Linked DNA regions of Oreochromis niloticus. The protein of the gene in region 2 interacts with the protein of the main gene of each other region in a pairwise test. Links are inferred from orthologs where the notes say so. Each region holds a gene or a part of one and is shown on either strand. Other genes may lie near its edges.

What was found. The genes of interacting proteins can lie anywhere in the genome.
Region 1: the proteins of serine/threonine-protein phosphatase PP1-gamma catalytic subunit (region 2) and csrnp2 interact in binary tests that used the Homo sapiens proteins (3 or more experiments, as listed by UniProt). The link is inferred for Oreochromis niloticus from reciprocal best matches to the Homo sapiens genes PPP1CC and CSRNP2.
Region 3: the proteins of serine/threonine-protein phosphatase PP1-gamma catalytic subunit (region 2) and ppp1r16a interact in binary tests that used the Homo sapiens proteins (3 or more experiments, as listed by UniProt). The link is inferred for Oreochromis niloticus from reciprocal best matches to the Homo sapiens genes PPP1CC and PPP1R16A.

What each region holds. Positions count from the first base shown.
Region 1 is NC_031984.2:9,326,458-9,333,548, reverse strand, and holds the start of csrnp2 (cysteine/serine-rich nuclear protein 2), read left to right. Parts: upstream 1-4,032; 5' UTR 4,033-4,716; intron 4,717-4,747; exon of another isoform or gene 4,748-6,127; intron 6,128-6,216; 5' UTR 6,217-6,230; coding exon 6,231-6,390; intron 6,391-6,505; coding exon 6,506-6,768; intron 6,769-7,091. Other genes in the region: tfcp2 (transcription factor CP2), read left to right, coding at 2,212-2,263, 2,399-2,436. UniProt on the Homo sapiens protein: Binds to the consensus sequence 5'-AGAGTG-3' and has transcriptional activator activity. May play a role in apoptosis.
Region 2 is NC_031977.2:6,410,708-6,418,651, reverse strand, and holds the start of serine/threonine-protein phosphatase PP1-gamma catalytic subunit, read right to left. Parts: upstream 3,007-7,944; 5' UTR 2,635-3,006; coding exon 2,580-2,634; intron 2,167-2,579; coding exon 2,035-2,166; intron 1,898-2,034; coding exon 1,667-1,897; intron 1,494-1,666; coding exon 1,389-1,493; intron 1,149-1,388; coding exon 925-1,148; intron 1-924. Other genes in the region: myl2b (myosin, light chain 2b, regulatory, cardiac, slow), read right to left, coding at 4,715-4,819, 4,920-4,968, 5,046-5,124, 5,207-5,311, 6,581-6,656, 6,744-6,833. UniProt on the Homo sapiens protein: Protein phosphatase that associates with over 200 regulatory proteins to form highly specific holoenzymes which dephosphorylate hundreds of biological targets.
Region 3 is NC_031974.2:21,578,727-21,586,710, reverse strand, and holds the start of ppp1r16a (protein phosphatase 1 regulatory subunit 16A), read right to left. Parts: upstream 3,060-7,984; 5' UTR 2,952-3,059; intron 1,064-2,951; exon of another isoform or gene 877-1,063; intron 364-876; 5' UTR 158-363; intron 1-157. Other genes in the region: foxh1 (forkhead box protein H1), read left to right, coding at 5,595-6,068, 6,698-6,802, 7,058-7,984. UniProt on the Homo sapiens protein: Inhibits protein phosphatase 1 activity toward phosphorylase, myosin light chain and myosin substrates.

The sequences.
Region 1 (7,091 bases), on a different chromosome or scaffold from region 2:
TAAATGCTGCCTGGCTCAAATGACAGTCATTTGTGAGTTTCAGCATGGGGTTATTTAACCCATGTTAGAAGACATCCTGTTGTTATGGAAAGATGTTAGGAAAGGTTGGATCATGTTATTGGCAAGCAAAGAAAACAACCAAGGATATTGCTTAAACTACTAAAAGTGGGTTAAAACCTATCCAACACTTTGTTAAAAACTGGAAGGATAGTGGTGAACCACCATCTTGGAGAAAGAAGTGTGGTTGGAATAAATCCTGAATGTTTGAAGATCAATGGGGGGGGGGGGACAGCAGTGGAATAGACAGCTATGTTTTAATACTGAAAGTAAAAGCATTTTCCCACAATGCAAAGAGAACTCAAGGAGTTCTAACTGAACAGCTGTGTAGCCTTAAAATAACTACTCAGTAGTAATGCTAATTAGTAGGGCTGCAAGTAAAGATTATTTTGGTAGTCGACTAATCTGCCAATTTCTTTGATTAGTCAATTAGCCAATGATTATAACTCTTATCTCCGCTAAACTAAACTAAACTAAACTAAAAATGGCTTCAGTCCATAAGTTCAAATAAAGCTTCGAATTAAATTAAAAAGTTTGTTTTCCAGTCCCAAAAAAACAGTTTCCAAAGTTTACAGATGATTCGATTCATGAATTCATGATTGCAGTGGACATGATCTGGAGTGAGGCTTGATCTTATTTTTGAGATGATGTTCTCAGCTGCAGCTGATAACCAGATGGTGTAGTACTCACTGCCAATTAACCTGTTTAACTGATTATAATTATTATATAGTTATTTGTTGATATAGTCCAACCCACAGATTAACTACCTAACGTTAGGTAGAAGAGGTTTATTATAATATTAATGTACGGAAAAAAATAGGAAGCAGTTTAGCTACTCCTGTTTAATGGTTTAGTATTGGATTAAACTCAATAGCTAACAAAACTGAAATGTTGTTTGCTTAGAAAGTATCATCCTAAGAAGTTTCTGACAACTAAGCTAACATAAACATTACTGTACAAACACTAACATAAACAACGTATCAACGTGACGCACTAACTTAACTCTCTAAAACTGTCAAAAGCCAGCTCCAGGGCGCCGGCGTTTTGAATGCTTGTGCACTGCAGTAGTGCTGTCTGCTTTGCACCATCTGGATTCAACTTTGTTTGTTTTCTGTGAAATGACTTCACATAAAAAAAAAAGTTTCCATTTTCTTCTATCCTCCTGTTTTGCTGTTTGCGCTACGTTCTTCTTTGTTAGTGTTGAGTGCAGCCTTGGAAGACAATATAAGTGATGGTGCCCCCATAGCTTCCTGTAGTCTATTGCAGTTACAAAAACACATGTACTTGGCATTAGTATATAACACGTGGAAAATTGAATTCCAGATCAGTTTACAAGGAAACATAAAGATGGGACTCTGGAGCAATAAAAAAAAAAGATCATGTGGTCTGCTGAGTACAGATTTACCCTGTTCCAGAGTGATGCGTGCCTTAGGGTAGGAACACATGTGGATGAAGTGATGCACTGATCAAGACTAGTACCTACATTACAAGCTTGTGGATTCAGGATTTAGGTCTAGATTCAGCAAGACTGTGTGTCCATAAAATGAGGTCAGCTGACTACCTGAATCTATTGAATGACCAGATTTTTTTTTAATCAGCGGGGTTTGTTTTTTCATCTCTCTGATAGTACAGCATATTCTGAGATGACAATGCCAGTATTCATTAGGCTCAAAATGTGAAAGAGTGGTTCAGGCAGCGTGACACATCATTTTCACACTCATCCACATCTTAACCCGAGTGAGAATCTTTGGGATATGCTGGGGAAGACTTCACACAGCAGTCCGACTCTCTCATCATCCATACAAGTTAAAAAAATGAATGCAACTCTGGACAAAACTAAATGTTGCATTACGTAACCCGATCAAAATGATACCACAGTGAATGTGTGTCGTTATAAAAGCTAAAAGTTGTCCAATTAATTTTTAGACTATGACTTTCCCCCCCCTTTTTTTGAGGGAGCCAGGCATTAAAAACAGCCAGTTGAAACAGTAGGCTAACGACTTATCAGTTGTAGCTTTTTGTTTGTCTTAAAAGATTTTCAAAGAAAGACAGAAATATGGTCAACTTACGGTCTCAAGAGCTTACACAAGCATAAACCTGCAAACGATATTGTTTTTTTCCCACCTGCATAATAATTTTCTCTCCTCTCCACAGATGATTCAGAATTTCCAAGATGAAGTTTGTTTTGTTTTGGACACGATGAAAGGTATGACTATGGCAGCAAAAAATTATAGTTTATCTCTATCTGTATTTACCGTTATAGTCTTGCTGCAAGTTTATCTTAGTGTCTTTCCCTGATATTTTTTATTTTTATTTTTATTTCTATTCCTTTCTTTTTCAGATGACACAAGTGACGGCTACCATATAATCTTAAAGTGAATCCTAGGCAGGAGAGTTGTCGAGTGCTTCTCTCTTGTTTAGTCCTGGTTCAGTCAGCCCCTCTAGAGCTTTGTACTTTTTGCTGTTCCTTTCTGGAGATGTGCCCCCCCCCAAAAAAACCCCCAAAACAAAAACCTTGTGAGGCAGCTAGGAGGAAGATGCGACTGAAGCAGTTGCCCCTCTTTTAACTTTACCTTATCGTCTGACTTTTGAGGGAGTGACTCTGGTTCCACAGTGAAGTGTCACCCTGCCGTTTGCTCACTTAAATGGTTGCATTTCCCTCTGTTGGTTACATCTCAAGGAGGTTAATGGCACTACAGCTGCTGTTGTTTGTTACCTGACCATCTGGTATTGCCAAGACTCTTTGCTTCGAGTTCAGCCGTTTGTTCTCTCTTTAAAAAAAACAAAACAAATGATGACATTAAAGATGACGGTACTTGACTTTCAGCCTGCAATTCAGTATGAGTCGTCCTCTTCATGCGAGGTTGCCTTACCGAATCCAAGCCAGTCTGCAAGAAACACAACCACTCAGTTGAATCATAGTACAGCAGGTATTAAAATTAACAACTGGACAATTAAGGGAAACTGTTAGAATCCAGCTGCCCTTCCAAATATCAGAGGTTCCTTTGAAAGCTAACAATGTCTGCCTGTTACTTCTGTGGAAAAAAAGGCTACTAAACACTGTTAGATTGTCATAGTTTGTTTAGAATGCTTACTGGCACATGTGATTGTTACTTAATCGTCTTAAAAGATGATAAGCACTGTCTGTGTTAGTGATCTCCGTGGTAACACCAGCAAATTGTCTCCATCTGCTTCCTGTATCTATGAGCTTGTTTAGCACACCAGAGTTTTATTGTTTGTTTTTTGGTCATTTCCATCATAATTTTGAAATGGATCATTGTTTTAAAATAATTTAAAATGATGAATCATGGGGTTTTTTTTTTTTACATTTTAAAAAAATCTTTTTTACATACTTACATCTGCTCTGCTTCCTTTTTTTGGATGTTACAAATGCTAATAAATAAGTTGTTGGGCAGTACAGAGCTGCATGTGAATAATATGGTTTACGTTGAGTATGTTGTAAATGGAATTGATGGCTCGATATCCATATTTGCCCCTCATCTCATCGGCATTATTAAAACTTAACCATGTACTGGCTGCTATTTGGTGTCTACATCTTTCTTTAAAATATATAAAATAATGTTTAACGTGTTCTAAATGTTCTGAAGCTTTCCTATAAAAGGAGACACGATATTTTATTGGCACTGTCTAGCACAGGCTCCACATCTGTCCCTTTGGTGTACAGATGTGGATGCCTAGTCACTGACATCCACATCTGTCCCTTTGGTGTACAGATGTGGATGCCTAGTCACTGACATTTGAGTAAACTTTAGTATGTCATATACTGTTAACCAAATTAAGCTTAAATGCAGGTTAATTTAGCGCACTGAGGTGTCGTGTTTTGCACATCTGCTTCTGCACAATATGAACAAAGAAACAGGAAAAAAAAACCCGAAATAGAAACTTCATCTCCCAGCATACCCCGGCGCAGGACATGGCCGTGATGTCACAATAAGTATATATACTGCTACAGGGAAGAATTTCTACCTCCATTGTTACATTGTAACAAACGGGGCCGGGGCGAAGCGGGGAGAAAGGCGTCTTCTCGCTAGAAAACCTGCAAGATTTTGACACCAAACGATAAAGAGCAGAGCGCACCGTTATTGCGAGAAGACGGCGAAGTAAGCCCAGACGACTGAACCCGCCCCGGCGAGAAGAAAAGGATAAACGAACACAGATGTCAGCGGATTTCTCCATTACACCCATTTAAAGGCTTACATCAGGAAGACAAGACACTGAGCGTCTTACATTATTCATGCTGCACCGAAAAATGTTGGAGAATAAAGCGCAGCTAACCCTATGACGCCCCTTCTTCCTATCGTCTGTCCTTTATATAGATAGGAATGCATCATTTAAATAAAACCCGCCGGTCTAGCACAGCTCCTGTTTTCTTCGTCATCTTTCAGTGTGCAGAACAATGAGCATGAAGCCTAAGTAGCCTGAAATAGCCAAATATAAGTGTTGCAAATTGACAATCACGCAAGCTTTCATCCAGATTACTTCGGCTCCACGGTTGCAGTCTGGATACTCGGTTCAGGGATCTCGGTTTTGGCATAAAAGAGCCTCTCATAGGGCGTTGAAAGATTGATGTGCAGCTCCTATTGGAAACAGAAACGACCTACGACTTGGTTGGAATAAGGGTCCCTGTTTCTGCCCCAGGTAAGTGGGTTTAGTGTTTCATTAACCGGGCGGTTTGCCATTGTGTCTGTGTGTGGTTCTCTTTCTCTCTGTGTGTGTATGTGTGTGAAATGGAAAGAGAGAGGGAGAGACAGAGAGAAAGAGAGCCTTGCCTTGTCAGACTGGCAATATCTAACCTCCCCCAACACAGTCAGTCGGTATGTCCACATTTAAACAAATAGCTCCTCTAAACTGCGTGTCCCTGACGGGTAATATACCGTGAAGTCACACCTGTCGGTAAACATCCTGTAACATGTCAAAGGCAAACTTAAGTCCTGAAAGAAAAGCCTTAAATTCTTAAACTGAAATAAACATTTAATGTCAGATGTGTTACTCTGGTTTTAAAAAAAGGGCACACATTTGGTGTTATAACCACAGCTGCATCTTTACAGGTTAGGCCCTGTCCCTTACAGCCTGTCAAGGTGGGCAATTTTGTTGAAATTAGGTCAAGGTATTAGTCTTTAATGCTCATAATTATTATTAGGACATAGATTAGATAATTTTGGACTTTCCCCCCTCAGAAGTAGTTCCAGGAAAGATCACTTAGGCTGCATTTGAGCAGCTTCGCAGTATCAGCACATCCCTTTTTCTCTTTTTAGCTGAAGGACAAATTTAATTGTGCAGTTATTACATAAATTATGCTATAAACGTACATGTCAGTCCTTTTAATTTTGAACGTTCTCCTTCATGGACTTAAAAACACTGAAAAACTACAGAATGGGAGTTGCTCCATTTTGGAATGACATTACAGCATGCTGCATAGTAAAATATGAATTACCTTGAGAAGTAGCTGGTTCACACTATAGGAGGTATGGTAGTAATATGGTAGATTTAAGGTAGATGGATATAGTGTCTCTATGGGATATAATCATCGGTGTTAATATTGATGTGTAATTATTTGAAATGTATCTGTGTGAATGCAGATGTCTGTGTAATGCACAGGACATAACACAGTGTAACATCAGACATGTATTTAGCTGCTTTCATTCACCTTGTTTGACCTCTCCTACAGATGGAAGTGATCAGCTCCCTCCTTCAAATTCACCCATATCGATCCCTCCCACTACACTCAGTTTATAGCAGATTTTTTTAGGGGTAAAAACAGATTGTGAAGCCACAGACATTATTTGCTTCAAGGCTGCTTGCATAAACTGTGCTTGCCTAGTTGCCATGGTTACATTTTCAGACTTGATAATTTCAAAGTCGGATTTCATGTGAGATGGGAGCCACACAGACGAAATGATGGAGCTGGAATACAGATGAAAGGAGGCAGGAGCGAACAGATGTCACCTTTTTGTTCTGTTTTTGTTGTCAAGCTGACCTTACAGAGGAACAGTTTGATAAAAAAATTAGCTCATTCTCTAAGTGATAACAGGAGCATTTTGTTTCTAAGGTAGTAAATCACAACGTGTCATGTCTTCACATCTTTTGAAACACATTTACTGATGCTGGGTATTTTTTTGTGCTCCTCTGTGCCCCCAGATACTTAAGTTTCCATGGAGGCAGGTTCGTCCCTCAGCCTCAAACGAAGATATGAAGAGGTGGACAACAGCTCTCCATTCTCTACACCTAAGGACTCTGACGATGACATCTCCAGCAGTGACAGTGCTGACAGCTGTGACAGCCTCAACCCTCCCTCCAGCACTGCATTTACCCGTAAGAATCTCATTAAAGGAAGTCAAAAGAAACTAAACAGTTAATCAACGCGAGTATTTAGTATTAGGTGTGTAAGACTGTATTGAAAATCTTTCTCCCTCTTTCCCTGCTTTAGCCACCTCTATCCTCAGGCAGCACAAGCCGTCACCAGGGGGGAAACGGGTACGTTTTGATTTGGTGACGGTGTATTACTTCCCCCGGCGGCAGGGCTTCACCAGCGTGCCCAGCCAAGGGGGCAGCTCCCTGGGTATGGCCCGCCACCACTCCTCCATCAGACACTACACACTGGGGGAGTTTGCACGCGAACAGGAAACCAGTCACCGGCACACTTTGCGACAGCACCTGCGCCAGGAGAAGCTGAATGCCCGCAAAATGAAGGTAGATTAGATGTATCAGTCGTACCCCAAGAGGGTCAAAATTCAAGGCACAGTAGTATCTTGCAGCTGTGGGCACGTTGCATGTCTCCACTTGCAGTAGTGACTCAGTACATGTACTTCCGCTCTGTCCTTCAAGACTTTACAAAACTTTCTGCTTTGTGACCCCGTACAAAAACAGTCTAGCTGGGGCCCCTTTCCATAGTTCCCATGCCCGTGAGTTGCTAGGTGTCCTGCTGAAGAGTAATTACCCCCATTAAACTCCTGAAACAATTTTACTTCAATAACTGTTTGAGGCCGGAGAGGTAAAAGTCACTGATGTTTCAA
Region 2 (7,944 bases):
AGGCTAACGGAGCAGACTGATTCAATTTTATGTTTGTGGAGCAAATGAAGGGTGTGCTGCATCTGTCTGCGCTTGTCTGGTAGGAGAGGCTCATGACAAAGCGCAGAGAGCTGCACTATGTACCGCGGAAACACCAGCCTATCAGTTTTGCAGCACACAGACAAATCTGATTAGACACTATACACTTCACAATTCATCTTGATACTTCTATCAGCAGCTACATCATCTAGCACACTAGTGGCCCAGGTTTACTGGTCACTATTAAAGTCTAACCTGGCCTCTGGTCAGGAGTTTCAAGTAAAACTTGTGTATTTACGTTCACAATCACTTGTCTTAATTGCAGACTTGACATGCCTCAACAGTGTTTTTCCTTATTAGGCGTCTTCTGTGGACTTAACAGTCGTTGGTGTTACTGATTAATAAATATAATAGTGCATTATTTCTGACTTTTCTGTTACCGTCAGAAGAAACCACTTACTGACCATACTCTATATTTACATTAATTAGCTACACTCTATTCTACTACTACAAGCTACTGTCTATTCTGACAAATGTCTTTCCCACAAAATTACACAAGACTGCACTGAAAGCTGAGCTCTCTTATCTTTGCACTGGCATTAAATGGCAGCATTAAAGTAATTCGTGACTATTCTAACATCAATTTCTCTCCATATTCTTTAAGTCTCTAGATATTTTTTTAAAGTAAAGCTTTAGTTGAACTTGTAACAACCTCTGGAAATACACAAATAATTTTACTTTGATGCAAACGCAAGCCAAAAAGGTCAAAACCCACTGTCCACAACACGCACCATGTGTGCTAGTATATTATCTCCCTGTACCAAGTGTTTCTTGCCTCTGGCCAGTACACGGCCACCTCCCACCTCCCACAGTGACGTTTCTGTTTGTGATGACGGAGGTGAGTACCTGATGGGCACGACAGATCAGGTCCAGGTCATGCTTGTGCAGGAACTTGGCTACCACCTCTGAGCCAAAGGTAAATGACACACCTCTGTCGTTCTCCCCCCAGCCCAACACATCCTTGTCTGGATCAGACCAGAGTAAATCACACAGCAGGCCCTGGTCAGGCACGTCAGTGGGACGCATGATGCGTCTGATCTGCTCCATGGACTGAAGGTCAGGGGACAGTCCTAAATGGAACAGTAAAGTAAAAGTACAAATAAACACACTGATACTGAGGTCAGCACCGATTGGAACTGGGTGAGCTTCATGTCAGGTAACAAATTGCAAAGACAGCGTTTCTCAAGGACAAATAAGAAACGCTGATATCAAATGTACACAACTTCTGACATCATGCATACAACCAAAAGACTGTAGAGTAGATAGTAGAGTTTTGTGCCAAAACATTCATTCTGCGCATTATAACCCACCGCCATGGCAGCAAAAGATCTTCTCATCAACAATGGCGGCAATCGGGAGGCAGTTAAAACAATCTGTGAAGGTCTTCCAGAGTTTGATGTTGTACCTTCTTTTACCTAACACAGTAAGACAAGAAATTATATTTAATTTTTTCCCATTATCTCATACCAACAACCTCCTTCAAACAGTTTAGCCGGCAAAAGAAAACGCAACAGAGAATCTGACAGGTACCCTTAATGGACACAAGAGACCCCAGGCTGGACATTTCTAGTCATTCAACAATACTCACACTCATCATAAAAACCATATATTCTGTTGATTGAAGCACACTCATGGTTTCCCCTCAGCAGGAAGAAGTTTTCTGGGTATTTGATTTTGTAGGCCAGTAGAAGACAGATGGTCTCCAGTGACTGCTTCCCCCTGTCCACGTAGTCCCCCAGAAACAGGTAGTTGCTCTCAGGAGGGAAGCCCCCATACTCAAACAGCCTCAGCAGGTCATAGTATTGCCCATGGATGTCACCTGCAAGGCAAAGATACCAAGCTGAATTATACACATTGCTCTTTTGAGTCATAAACCACTTATCATACGTCAGTACATACTATCAGCCAATTGCTGAGTCAATCTTTTCTGGTAAGTAAGTGCACAGCTTTTCTTACCACAAATCTTGAGGGGGGCCTCCAGCTCCAGGAGAATGGGTTGACTGAGGAAGATCTCCCTGGACTTGAGGCATAATCCACGAATCTCGTTCTCCTGCAGCTGAACATTCTTGCCAGGTTTTGCTCCTCTGACTGGAACAAGAAGACAAAAATCAATAAAAGTCAGTAAGAATAACACCTAAACACTATTCCAGCTAACCCGGGCACGGTATCTCTGCCCGGACGCCAAGTGGGACAAACGGTGAGTGTAGAAGCCATATGCCGTGACGGAATTCGCGGTGTTTGTGTATGAGAACACAGTGTACGTGACATGTCGTTTCACACCCTTCAGACACACCAATATTCTGACTCAAGAGACGCATTATATAAACCTGGTAGCCAACATTAATTAAAATAATAAGTTATCTTGCAAATATTTCTGATTATTGTTACTAATTATTGCCACAAGATGAACACCAGCTAAAGCTAGCTATCTACTATTAGCATTTACCATAACATTTAAATAATAAAACAAGTGTTTCGTGGAAATTTTAGTATTTACTTACCTTCTAAAAGCCGCTGGATGATACTATCTATGTTGAGCTTGTCAACATCAGCCATTGCAAGCGTTGGTGTTACGAAAAAATCGCTCCAGTAGATCTAGGTCTTCGCGTTGACACACTTGTGAAAGCTAGCCCGCTAGCTATCCTAGCATTAGCTTGCTAATGTTAGCTTCGTCTATTTTCCGGCTGAGGGTAAAAGATGTTGCCGTGACCCTGATACTGTTTAGCCGCTCGCCGACACTTTTGACAGGCTAATACGCTACTTAAAGATCGCGATTTTAAAAATGCCAACATCAATTGTTTCGTTTTGTTAAAAAAAGGGACGGGGACTATAAAAAAATAAGCGTCAACCAACACAAGCGGTTGCTAGCGACGGTGTCCCGTTTCTGTTTTTCCTTTGCCGCACCTTGTACTGCTAAAGCCAGCGGCTTGTGCTGGTAGCTGCTACACTACTGCCCCCTACTGTGCTGGATGGGGACAGCTTAAGACTTTATGAAGTCCTTTAAATTTTTTTCTTTGGATATTTGTTGATTTTTCACTCATTTTCAGTCCAGTCCTTGTACCTGACCATTTTCAGAGGGATATTTTTTTTTATTTGCGTGTTTTGTAAGCTACTTAACCCACAAAAGGGACCTAACTCAAGAAATGAATCAGTGTTGTTTCTACACATAACACACGACTTAGCGCAGAACCAATTTTAAACTGTACGTTGAGCCACTTTGTTATAGCCACCTGACACAGTACCTGAACGTCATGTCGTTTGGACAACATGACAGTGATACCAAACACACTGCCTAAAAGTATATCTGGATGGAAAAACACACACTATGGTTTGGCCTCCTCAGTCACCAGCCAAGTCCTCAACATTATCGAAGCAGTGTGGGATCATCTCAACAGAAAACAGAATAACAGGCAGCCAACATCCAAAGAAGAGCTTTGATTGTCCTTCAAAAAGCCTGCAGAACTATTCCTGAAGACTGCTTAAAGAAATGGCAAGAAAACGTCCCTAAAAACGTTCAGCCTGTTGTGAAGAATAAAAGTATTCATATCAAATATTGACTTTGAAGTTCATTAGAAATTTCTAAACTTTTGGCTTATATAGTCTATTTCCATGTATGCTTGATCTTGTTTCAATAAATTGCTCCACTTATTTTCCATTTTCCTAGCAAAGTATAATGAAATTAGGTTTTTTCACCATACCGGATATTAATTTTACAGGTTCCTGTTCTGTGTTATCTGAAGAGGAAAGAATTCAGTATGATGAACACTTTTGCTTCAATTTGAAAATCAGTTAACCAATAAAAACCTTAGAGACGCACCAATTTCTAGACAATCAAGAAATTGATTTACATGTAAAATAAAGATAAAGGGTATACAGTAAGTGTAATTACAGATTAGCTTCACCATTAACAGAAAGTGAGCTATGGTGGAGTAGCCACCTATTCTTCCATGGAAAAGTGGATGCAGACTGTTTAGAGTTTAACTTTAACATATATTTATTTAAAAGTTTTAGCTGTGATTGATAAAGTACAAGTATAGTCTCTAAATAGACACTGCATCTTTCAGATTAGCTGAGGTTAGTGAAAACCTGGGTGCAGTTGTTGTTTAATGAGTAGAAATTACTCCCTTTGGAAAATAAACCTTTAAACAGAGCCTTTTAAAGGACACACTGTCTACCTAGCAATCCTTTCCCTTATATTTATACACTTAAAGTACTCTTTAAGGCAAAATTGAACAAATGGGTCTTGGAGCTTCTGGGTTCCAGTGTTCTTCTACTGATCAACTGTGAGCACTGAAATAAAATGACTATATACAGATAATTAAATATCAATACTTATGGAAGATGAAATACACTGAGATTCAGCTTCTCCAATGCATCTCTCTGAGGTTGAATCTTTCTTTATTGATTTGTCAAAAACATCTGACGTCAAATACACTTTTAATTTCACCTTTGAAGAGATTACTAATTTATATTCAAATAATATACATACATATACATGTTATAATCATGAATGAATGAATAATGAACACATTGATCCATGTGCACATTCAAAAACTGAAGCTGAAGTTAGTTACATTTTTGCTGTCATATGTGATCATATCTCAGCACAAGTACGACCCGGTGAGGGAGGACGTGATTATTCCTGGTCTTTCTCTTCACCGTGTGTGATGACATAGACGAGGTTCTTGTAGTCCAGGTTCCCTGCCACATCTGGAGGGAACGCCTGAAACATCTGCTCCATCTTTGGGTACGAAGTAAAAAGAATGGTTACAGAGCGTATCTGCATTTATAAAAACTCAAGGCTCCACAATCTGTTACATCGTCGGAGGTGGAGCACTAACCTCTTCAGCAGAGAATCTGTCAGCCTGGGTCGTCAGCATCTCTGTCACACTGTGAAGACGAGCAGTGATGATCAGCAAACGAGATGCAAATATCACGAGTCGCTTAAGAACCAGACTATTACTCACAACTCTTTCTTTAGTGTTCCTTTTCCCTCAGGGTCAAAGACTTTAAAAGCATTAAGGATAGTCTCCTCTGGGTCAGCACCTATAGATGAAAAGTGGCAGTTCTGCATTGAAGAAAAACAATTTCACTTTTTTTCAACGTCATATAACGGCAACTCGTTTACCTTTTAGTTTCTCTCCAAACATGGTGAGAAAGACAGTGAAATTAATGGGCCCTGGTGCCTCCTTCAGCATGTCATCAATCTCTTCTTGTTTGACATTTAAACGGCCTGAAAAACATGGAATATATGGTGAAACGGGGGTTGCAATTAATGCTCATTTTTTAAACTGATATTTTATTGATGGAAAATAGTCCAATAAAGAGATTAAAACAAATCCACAAAAGCTCAATGGAACTATTAGATGGGTTGACTATACCATCCAGCCCAAAATGACCAAAGAAGGAATTAGAAGAGGATGCAATTGCTGGAAATTTGGAATAACAACAGTTTTCCAGCTTTGTATTAAAAAAAAAGAAATCTATAGAGATTTTTTCAAGGCACATTCTACGCTTGGTCCTTTAAATATAATCTAAAACCGCTGGAACATTTAAACAAATGTAGAACATGAAGTCAGCAAGCTTGATGGACAGTATTCAATATAATACACAAAATTTTCCAAAAAAATTAAACAAAATTGAATCCCAGGTCGATAAAGACTAGAACAGATTTGTTGCAGTAAGTTAAGGTTCTTCTTATACAAAATAAAAACTAAATGAACAATAATAAAGAAAAATGAGGTGTGGCTTTTGATAAAACTCTTTGAATGACTATCTAATCAATGTATTGGCGTAGAAATGGAAAATGGAATAGATCACACCACAAATGTTCGGAATAACTAGCTCAGGCAATAGCTATCATTATATCCAGAGGACATAATGTTGTTTATTGCAAAATGACTCAGTTGCAGGTTTAATACATTTAGTAGAAACAGTTGGAGATATTTCCGGGTATGCAGTAAATATGTTGGCAGTAAACCCTAGGAAGGAAAACATATGTATTAAAATAAAAACACCGGGAAAGGTTTTGAAACTCTTTTTGAAATATGTGGAAGATCTGGATCTGACCAGGAGTCAGTCAGTATCTGTTTGTTGTGAACCATGTGTTATTTAAAAAGATAAAAATATCCTTTTAATGTAAATTGGATCATGTTTGTTTGCTGTGCTTTTCTTGTTTAGTCTGTTTTGTATTCTTTTTAATAGGTTTGCTTGTTTATGTATAATATTAATAAGTCTTAGGTTGGGGGAAAAAAGTCCGCTAATGATTAATCTGATGACTGCTACAGCTCAGTTTGTCAGTTATCTGTTTCTTCAGACATTATTTTAAAAATGGTAATTATACATCCCAGAACTCAAGGTGAGTTCTACTAGCTGAGACAATGAAATTCGTGCATGTGAGAAGCTGGAACCTGAGAATTCCTAAGGTTTGTTTTTTGCTGGACTTGTGTAATGTAATCATGTGAAACCATCACAACAGAAACGTGACACACAGTGAGTTTACCTAAAGCTGCAAAGGTGTCCCTCAGGTCATTCTTGTCAATGAAGCCATCTCTGTTTTGGTCCATGATAGTGAACGCCTGCAGGAGTATACACAGCGAGCAGACATCGCAGTGAGTAAACCGCTCAAATTCAATGTGAAAGAAAGCATTTGGCAGAGTACCGACTTCTTTGAACTCCTGGATCTGGGCCTGTTCAAACATGGAGAACACATTGGAGCTGGCTCCCTCCGCTCTCTTCTTTGCTTTCTTGGGTGCCTGTGGGGGGTTTAACGATGACACTCTTAATTAGATCCAATAGTAATGACACACGATCGTCACCTGGCTCTTCCGTATGGCTTTACTCGTTATCGGTTTTACTGTCACACGTGGTAATGAGCCAACGATCAGCTCACTCTCACTAAGTGCGTGTGTGTGTGTGTGTGTGGTGGTGGTGGTGGGGGGGGTGCATCCATTGCACAAGAGGAAAGGTTTGTACTGGGGGGCACACATTTCATTAGTGAGGATTACAAACACTGTCAGTTTGTTATGGAAATATTTATTCGAGCCTCCAGTTTTGGGAGCACACAGGGTAAGCCTAGGGAGGGTGTGGTCCACTGCCTGCACTCTCATAGTCCCAGGATCACATGAGGGATTATTCTATAGGGTCTATGTGATGACAGGAGGGTACACTGAGCCCTGTTTGATCAGAAATCCCTCAGAGGGAAGGATTATGTTGAGCTATTTACATGACTGCCAAGAAACTGTGAAAAACACTGTAAGGGGGATGCAGCGCAGTGACATCATGTTGCTCGGATTCAGGGTCCTCTCGACAGCTGCTGTCTAACCCTTGTTGTGGATTAGCTCTTGTATATCTCATGGAAGGGACCTCTGGCATTCGGATACATTTATTTAATTATTTATTTTGTTTTAAGAGGATTCATGTACTCGTGGGCAATGAGGCAGAATTTGCCATTTCTTGCTGTTGCCCAATGCACATCACTGTTGGACCAGCGGAAACTTTATTGGGCCAAATATTACACGAATAACCACTGACCTCTTCATAGCCTGCACCTGTTGCTCATGTTTCTCTGCTGTCTGCTCCGCACTCCCTTTGTTTTGCTCTTTCCAACCCGGTTGGCTGCTCTTCTAAGTCTCTTCTCTGTTTTTTGCTGCCTTTCTCTCACCTCTCTCCTCTTCATCCCTCCCATTTCCTCTCCTTAAATATTGTGTGTGTTTTAAATGTCATTGTTCTGTTTTATTGTAAACACGGAGGAAAAAGTCGCAAGTAAAATATATTTTTTTTAAGGTTAAGGCTTTCCTTACCGTCTCCTCCTTCTCAAGTCGAGTAGACAAATATCTCATCAATAGGACAACGGGAGCATTGTCC
Region 3 (7,984 bases), on a different chromosome or scaffold from region 2:
GCTGTTCACCGACGCTGCAGTCGGAGCCGCTGCCCTCAGATAATTAACGTCAACGTCTCAGCGACAACTAAGTTCAACTTATACACAATCGTTTGAACCGAGCAGGACGTGCAGACTCATTGTAAAACAGTAGAAAAACAAAGTGGCGACATCTTACCTGTTGAGCTGCCTGTCAGCGGTAGGTCCTGTGCGAGCCGTGAAACTGAATCAGCTGCTGTCCGCCGCAGCTCCAACTTCAGCCAGCCCTCTGGGGAAATGCTTCACCATAACAACCGGACCTGCGCCCTCTCCTCCCGCCGGACAGCCTCCACCAGAGGGCGGCAAAGTCTGCAGGTTGCGGGGCGGCAGGAGACAGGTGATCATCTGCCAAAAACATGCCCGTATTTAAACTGTTATAAATGACTTGCTGACTCAAAAACACAAAAACATTCCAATGTGTAAGCAGCATTCAAGCTTTTGACAAAGTGAATTTTATACATTATTTATTTATCCAGGTACAAAAAAAGTCTCTCTGAGATTAAAAATGGTATTTTTTTAAAATGAGATCTGGCCAAGAGGGCAGCAGAAATTGCAACAAACATAAAGGCTCTATAAAGATATTTTAAGTGGATAGACCACAGTCATTGGGATAGACTGATAGATACTTTATTCATCCCCAGGGGGGCATTAACAAATTCCGCATACATGCTAGACAGGCCTGGACTGGTACAAAAGAAATCACGACACTATGTACTGACTAATAATGAGTTATACTGTAGTGCATCATGTTATATTTAAAAGCTGTACTTTAGCTATTAGCGGTGGCTTGTGGTCAAAGTAGCCATTCATTTTACTTGAATCTCTGCCCTTCTAATTTTTTCCCTCCATCATTCTTACCACTCTCTTTTTGGGACTTGTCTCTCCTCCTGCACTTCTCCAAGACTAGTGCTAACAACAGCAGTCGTTTGTGACGCGAGGGTTTTTTACTAGTTGTTGCTGTTGACAATGTAGCTACCTACTAACATGTCGGTTAATTTGACTCATTTTGTTGCATTTTTGTTTCTCTTTCTTTTTGTCTCTCAGCTTTTCAGCTCCACCTTTCGTTTTGCTGTCTTTATCAACCACGTCTTTCACAATAAAATCTCGTATACAAGGTGCGCGGGCGCACAGGGAACGCTGGCAGGGGAGGGAACAGTTTGAAATTAAGATATTTGATTGGGCAATCCAGTGTCAATAATGAAAATGTACCAATGGGCTGCTGTGTTTGAAGGTCCGGTGCACAGCGGGCCTACGACCTGTTGCCTATATAAGCATATCGACCAAAAACAAACAAACAAACAAACAAAAAACAATTATATTGACCCCGGTATGCCAAATTACCAGTCCAGCCCTTATGATACACATTCAATAAATACTAACAAACACTAATAGATACTTGTAAATACGCAGTATTAGTTAAAAATGAAACAAATCATCAAAAATCATCAAAATCTTTGCTTGATCACTGGAACAAAATGCAGATGGCCTATTGATTGTGACACTGATGCAATTACAACCTGCATTAGTCATGATATTAAGTTAAGTCACAGAGATCTTACTCGTCTAGTTGATTGGACAGCACTGGTTTCTTAATGCTTAATGATTGAAGCTGAAATGTTGAAACTAATGTGTTTCTGGTTGAATGTTTGCCAGAAACTGAAGTTAGCCAACTTTGTGGAAAAATCTGTGCTGGTGCTAAGGATCTATTAAGCCTTTCCGCAACCCTAATGAAGCTGGCATGTAAACAGTAAATCACATTAACATTCATATATTTATAGATGCAGCAGAATTCATTTTAGACACACACATGGTGCGATTATCAAAGATTGCACAGCAGTTCCAGAGAAAGTGGAGTGGACTGGAGTCTTAACTGTGGTCATTATACTTTCATGTGTGTGAGTAGATATTTCAGGCGATTACAACAACTTTTAATCAAGAAGTTCAGATTTGAACATTCAAATGAGCAACTTGAGGTTACGGTATGCCAAAAGACTACTAAAAAGGAATAAAAAAAACATTAAAAAATAAACAGGTTGAACTTACCTTAGTGTAAAAACAACCCATCCTTCATTTTTAAGTCAGATATTAAGGGTGTGTTTGCATGTATAAGGATGTGTTTGCCTATGCACCTGCGTTCTTAGAAATGTGAATTCACTGCAGTCTTTTCACAGTAAACTGTTAGGGTGTGTTTTGTAACTAAATGATAATCGCTGCAACACACAAGCCTGAACAAGTGTGTCTTTACCACTCCCATAATTAAAAATCAATTTTGAGGCACTCAGCCAAAAACACTGTTGGACAATGAAAAACACAAGGTGTCCCTGTGAGCATCCGAATCAGTTACTAAATCCTAAAAACGAGACAGACACTGAAGACCTGCTGACCCCCGCAGTGACCCAGCCATGCATCACAGCGGTGATACCCTGCAGAGTCACAACAAGGAAACTGCGTTGGAGCTTTTGTTACCATCTCTGGTCCTCGGGAGAAGATTCAGTGTAGCGCTTCTTCAAGTGTTTTGAATATGCATAGAACGAATTTCATAAAAATGATGGCAAACAAAGAGCAGAGTGACTTGTAATTCTGAAACCAGTGATGCCCATGTTTAAAATCAATTGGATTTGGCTTACACAAATATTTATTATCCATTTCTGTGTCAGGAAAGCAAAGAAATCTTCAGGGTAAATGAAAATACTACTTTTCAGGCCTTTTAGTTTGTCATTATTCTAGTTTTGAATGCTTCAGCAGAGCCAAAATCCATGTGGCATGACAGATAAACACTGCCTGATACCAGCCTACAGACAAAAGGTCAGAAACACCTGATACAGGTTTTTCTAAATGCTAGTACTAACCAATGGTATGCTTTTTTTATTGCTTAAGTAAGCAAAAGTCACTCTTGTCTTAATTGACACATCTCAGATCAAACTTTTCCTTACTTTCTCTAAAGAGCATGCCTTTCTTCCTCCTCTATCCCAGTATCGGGATGGATGACAGCTTAGGAAGGATTTGTCTGGACTCAATCATCCCACGTGAAGAGCCTTGTCCCTGATGCTGACCTATTCACGTAGGATCCCATTCTCTTTATGTGTGGCTCTCTAATCCAGATCAGACTTATTAACTAGCATTCCAGCAAACAGGAAGGGATAAATTGACAGTTTGTATTCAAATCGGTGCGTCTGGCACTGAGCCCTTCATTGGAGAATGTTATGCAAATGCAGGTGGAAACATAGTAAGTGATAGTTTAGGAGTTTCCCCATATACACCAGTGATTCCCACCCTTTTTTGTGTCAGGTTTCAGCATGTGTTCGGTACTGTTTTTCCAGTACCTCCTAAAAGTATCTAGTATTTAGTTATCTCTTTTACTTTTGTTATTATTATTATCTGTTACTTTGTAGCATTACAATTAATCTGCCATTCCCTGATTGAAAATGTATCCATTACTTTCAGCTGTTTCTTAACTTTCAGACATATACCATGTATTCATTTTTTATGTATAACTTACAGAGGTTTTCCATTTTTAATCTGATTTTTTGTTTGAGACTCTTAGGCTGTGAATCATTCTTATACCTGTTTAATTGTCTCCGAATCTCTCAAATAGAAAGAGATATGAGGAATTTAAATTCCACATATTTATGAATCTTATTTAATGTTGCTTAATTTTAATTCTTCCATGAAGTTAGTACTTCTGTGGGTTTTGAGTGAAACCGCTAGGGGGGGATAAACCTAAAGAGAATATCACCGACAGTGGAAGAAAAATACTGACCCAATTTGAAGCAGGTGTGCAACGGAGATTTGATGTTCACCGTGTTTAGGAATGCCATCTGACCTAGAAAAACAAACAAACTCATTCAAATATTTTTGCGTATTCCTGCAGAAATTACACATTTGTGCGGTAAGTTTGTCACACGGGCGAATTGTTTATTTGAAACAAAGCAAAAACTATCAGAGCGTCCTTTTTTATTTTAATTTTTACAGCAACCTGATTAAAAGAGCGCCATCAGCTTTGTTGCCTGGACATGTAAGGTTAACTTGTGGAGTGGTGTGATGTGAGTGGGGGTCAATGTGAAAACGCCCAGTAGCGCCTGTTGAAAGTAAATGGATTTTAATTGCAGGAAAACGGAGTTGTTTCCAGCTCTGCTGTTTCTGTAACTTTCAGGTGACACAACTGTTGGATCAAATCAACTTTAATCTGCGCGTTAGTGCGAAACTCTTTACAATCCCGTGCCAAAGTTCACGCTTTGTCACATGATGGATCCTAAAGTTGATTCTTTGGTTGACTTGTTAATAAAAAAATTTTCTGCTTGAGGGAGATGTTGAGGCATTTTCCAGCAGCTGGGGGTGTACGTGATTGCCCCTGTTTAAGGTGTGAATGTTCGACCCAACTACAACACTTAGCAGCTTGTAAGCGCCAGAAACCCCACAAATGGTGTTGAAACCCCCCGTATTTCCTCACATGCTAAGCAGCTTCTCTTTTTCTTGGGATGGAAAAGTCTCCAGCTTCCCGATGGGGTTCCTTCTAATCCAGCTTGTTTTCACTGTCTTGCTGGGAAGCAAGAGTTTCAACATTAGCACTACGTTAAGTTGAACAAAAGAGGCGCATACCCGAAAATAGTCTTTTCAGCGCTGAATGGCATGCTCAACACTCCCAGGGAGACCCCACTGTGGAAAAACACCCCCGTCGACTGCAGCGCGTTATCAAACAACACAAAACAATGATGACTTCAAATATACTGCACCTACTAATCAGCTGATCAGCGTAGTTTATGCTTTTCTTCTTTTTTTTGGAATAGCTTTCATGGGAATAGTTTCTCCTCTGGATTAAGAGCCAAATCAAATACACAATTTGGCTAATTTGATTTTAGTTTCTCACAATTAAAAAAAATATCTAAAAGAATTCAGTAGGCAGTGAAGGCTAAATTGCTTATTTAATAATTAATAAATAAATGAAGTACTGAAAGGGGCATCTTTAGTGTTTGTATATTAGCCCTCTCTTGTGTATATTGCTCATCTATAATTGTTGATTGCATCCGAGGTTAAATCGAAATTACTTGTACCCACCCTACCCCCACAAGTTTTACCTTTCACGTCTAAGCCCAAGTAAAAGCTTTAGTGATATTAAAATTAAATAGACAAATAATTTAAAAAGTGTACGGTAAGCCTAAAATGTGTAATTGTGTAAAGCCAGACTTGTATTAATGTAGATGTGTTCCCCAAACACTTAAAGTCTCCAAGCAAGAATCTTGTAAGCAGAGTTTTCTAAAGTAGTTGCGGAATCACTACGTTGCATGTCGGCGTGTTGATAAGGTATCGTATGGGTGGTTTACAGTTTGGCCCTCTCTTTCTCTCCCTTCTTCGCACACAGACCCAGCCCAGCCCCCAGGGCCGATCAGTCATTCTGCTTTCAGATAACGCATCATTCACCCCCCCGATTACGCAGCGGGATTTACATGAAACTGTTAATTGTTTGCTCTTCAAATAGAGTCAGCCTGGAGCCAGCAGTCTGCCAGAAGTTAAGGACCGACTCTTTGACCTCCTCCCCCTCTACGTGCAGAGCGATATTCCTCCCCTGACTGATCAGCATGACAAAGCATTGGCCGGGGCAGAGTCTCTTGGCACCGATCGCTTCATCCCACCTAGGAGAACTTCTCGACCATCAACTTGACTTCCACAGAAATGAGCAGCAGAGTTTTCCTCCCAGCGGCGTAGCGCCGTGGAGCTCACCAGCCCAACACTGGCCTTACCTCTCGGATCCGATGCCTCCCCAGCAGCTGCCGCGCTCGGAGGAACCAACGGAGCGCCCCGGACACCTCACCGGCGCCACAGGATTCATGGCTAAAGAGGAACCGCCTGGATCTTTCAACCCGAATGATCAAGATGGACAGTTTAAGCAGGATGAAACGCAGGACATGTGGAAAAGTGAACGGGAGAAAAGAAATGCCGGCAGTGGGAAGAAAAAGAACTACCAGAGGTACCCAAAACCTCCGTATTCCTATCTTGCAATGATCGCTATGGTCATCCAGAGGTCTCCAGAGAAGAAGCTGACGTTAGCTGAGGTAATGATAAAACTAATGCTTTTATGTGTTAACTGTGTAAATGCTGCCGGAGTTTGGCATTTGTGTGTAGACGATGCGCGCGGTGTTTTACGCACGGTGCCGCTTATGATCGTCACTTATTGCATCAGCAGAAGCAAATCCATCACTGTGTCGTGTATTTAGAGTAGACTCCATTAGAGTTTTATGCGAAATTTCTACAATCTGTCTGAGAAGATCGTTTACAGTTCCTAAAGTGACACTAAACAGCCACATCGTCGTGACACTTGAGTGACTTCTACCCGTTCCCTTCTTGGTTTGCTGAGATAAGGGTGGACTGCAGTGGAACCAGACGCAGATCTGTATCAGAAACAGTGATAAGATATACAGTACATTCCAATATTAGGCTTCAAATGGGGGCTCCATTCGCTTTTTGTACCAGATGGAAAACGTATTTTCAATTTGTTTAAAATTCTATTATAAGTTCAATAAGTATAAAAATCCAAATCCTATATTGAAATTTGTAGTTTCACCGAGCTGTTTTTACGCAAGCATGGATTGCAGTTAACATAGTGACTATATAACGAAAATCTGTGATGCTGGTGTGTCTGTGTTGGTTCAGAATTTAATGCTGATATTTGTTTAAATTTTAGATCCTCAAGGAGATCAGCACCCTCTTTCCATTTTTCAAAGGAAACTACAAAGGCTGGCGAGATTCTGTGCGACACAACCTTTCCTCATATGACTGCTTTCTTAAGGTTTGTATGGTAAAATGTTACGTAATGATCATTAAACAGAGAAAAAACTAAAACTAAAAAAAACCCTACTCTTGTAGTTTTTCCCTACACTCGTGTAGTGTAGGAATACACCATTGGAGTCTTTCTATTAAAACCTAGAACCCACTTTAAATCACTTGTGTTGTGATAATTATTAATGAAACTAGGTCAGTCCTGTCAGACTAGGTTGTCCAGGCAAGCACTAATATTACTGTCCATCCTTCCTCCACCCTGTAGGTATTAAAAGACCCAGGTAAGCCACAGGGCAAAGGCAATTTCTGGGCAGTGGAGCTGAGCCGCATTCCTCTGGAGCTTCTCAAGAGGCAGAACACGGCCGTGTCCCGCCAGGATGAAACCATCTTTGCTCAGGATCTGGCTCCTTACATCATGCAGGGACACAACCCTGAGTCTGAGGCACCTCCTGAACCTGTGACCTCGCTCCCTCCCAAATCTTCTGGAAACTCTTTCCCAATGCAGGACGACTTGTACAGACCTAAGCTGGATTCGTCCTTTGCCATCGACTCCCTGCTACACAGCCTGAGGCCAATCAGTGCTTCAGGGGATTTAGATATGGCTTCTGGGGACTGCTGGGGTGAGGTGGCTCGGGCTCGGCCTTCACCGGCTCCGCAACATCGTTACACCTCCTCTGCTCGCAGTGCCTCTGCAAGCTCTGCGAGCCCAGCCTCCACCTCCTCCTCTTCCTCGTCTTCATCTGATGAAGAGTGGAAAGGAGTAACTGGGAAGCGTGTTCCTCCTGATGTGGAAGCAGGGGCAGATATTTGCAGGCCACCACTGCAGAAATCAGCCAGACGGGAATCTGTACCACCTCCATGGGAGCTCCCTACCTCCTACGCTAAATATGCACCCCCGAATGTCGTTGCCCCACCTAGCATGCGTTTCAACGGGGGTCCTCTGATGCCCCTGCACAGCGGGCTACCCATTTACGGCTATGGTAGCTCTCCCATGACACCAAGTCACTTCTTGGGCCATACATACTGGCCCATCCTCCCCAGTAGACAAGTTTCAGTGAGAGCCCCTCCTTTACTCATGGACCTGGACAACATGTTGCAATCTGTGCCTCCAAATAAGAGTGTGTTTGATGTGCTGGTACCAGCCAATCAAAACTCTCACCCACACCATCAGCAGCCCGGTCAGTACTCTTTG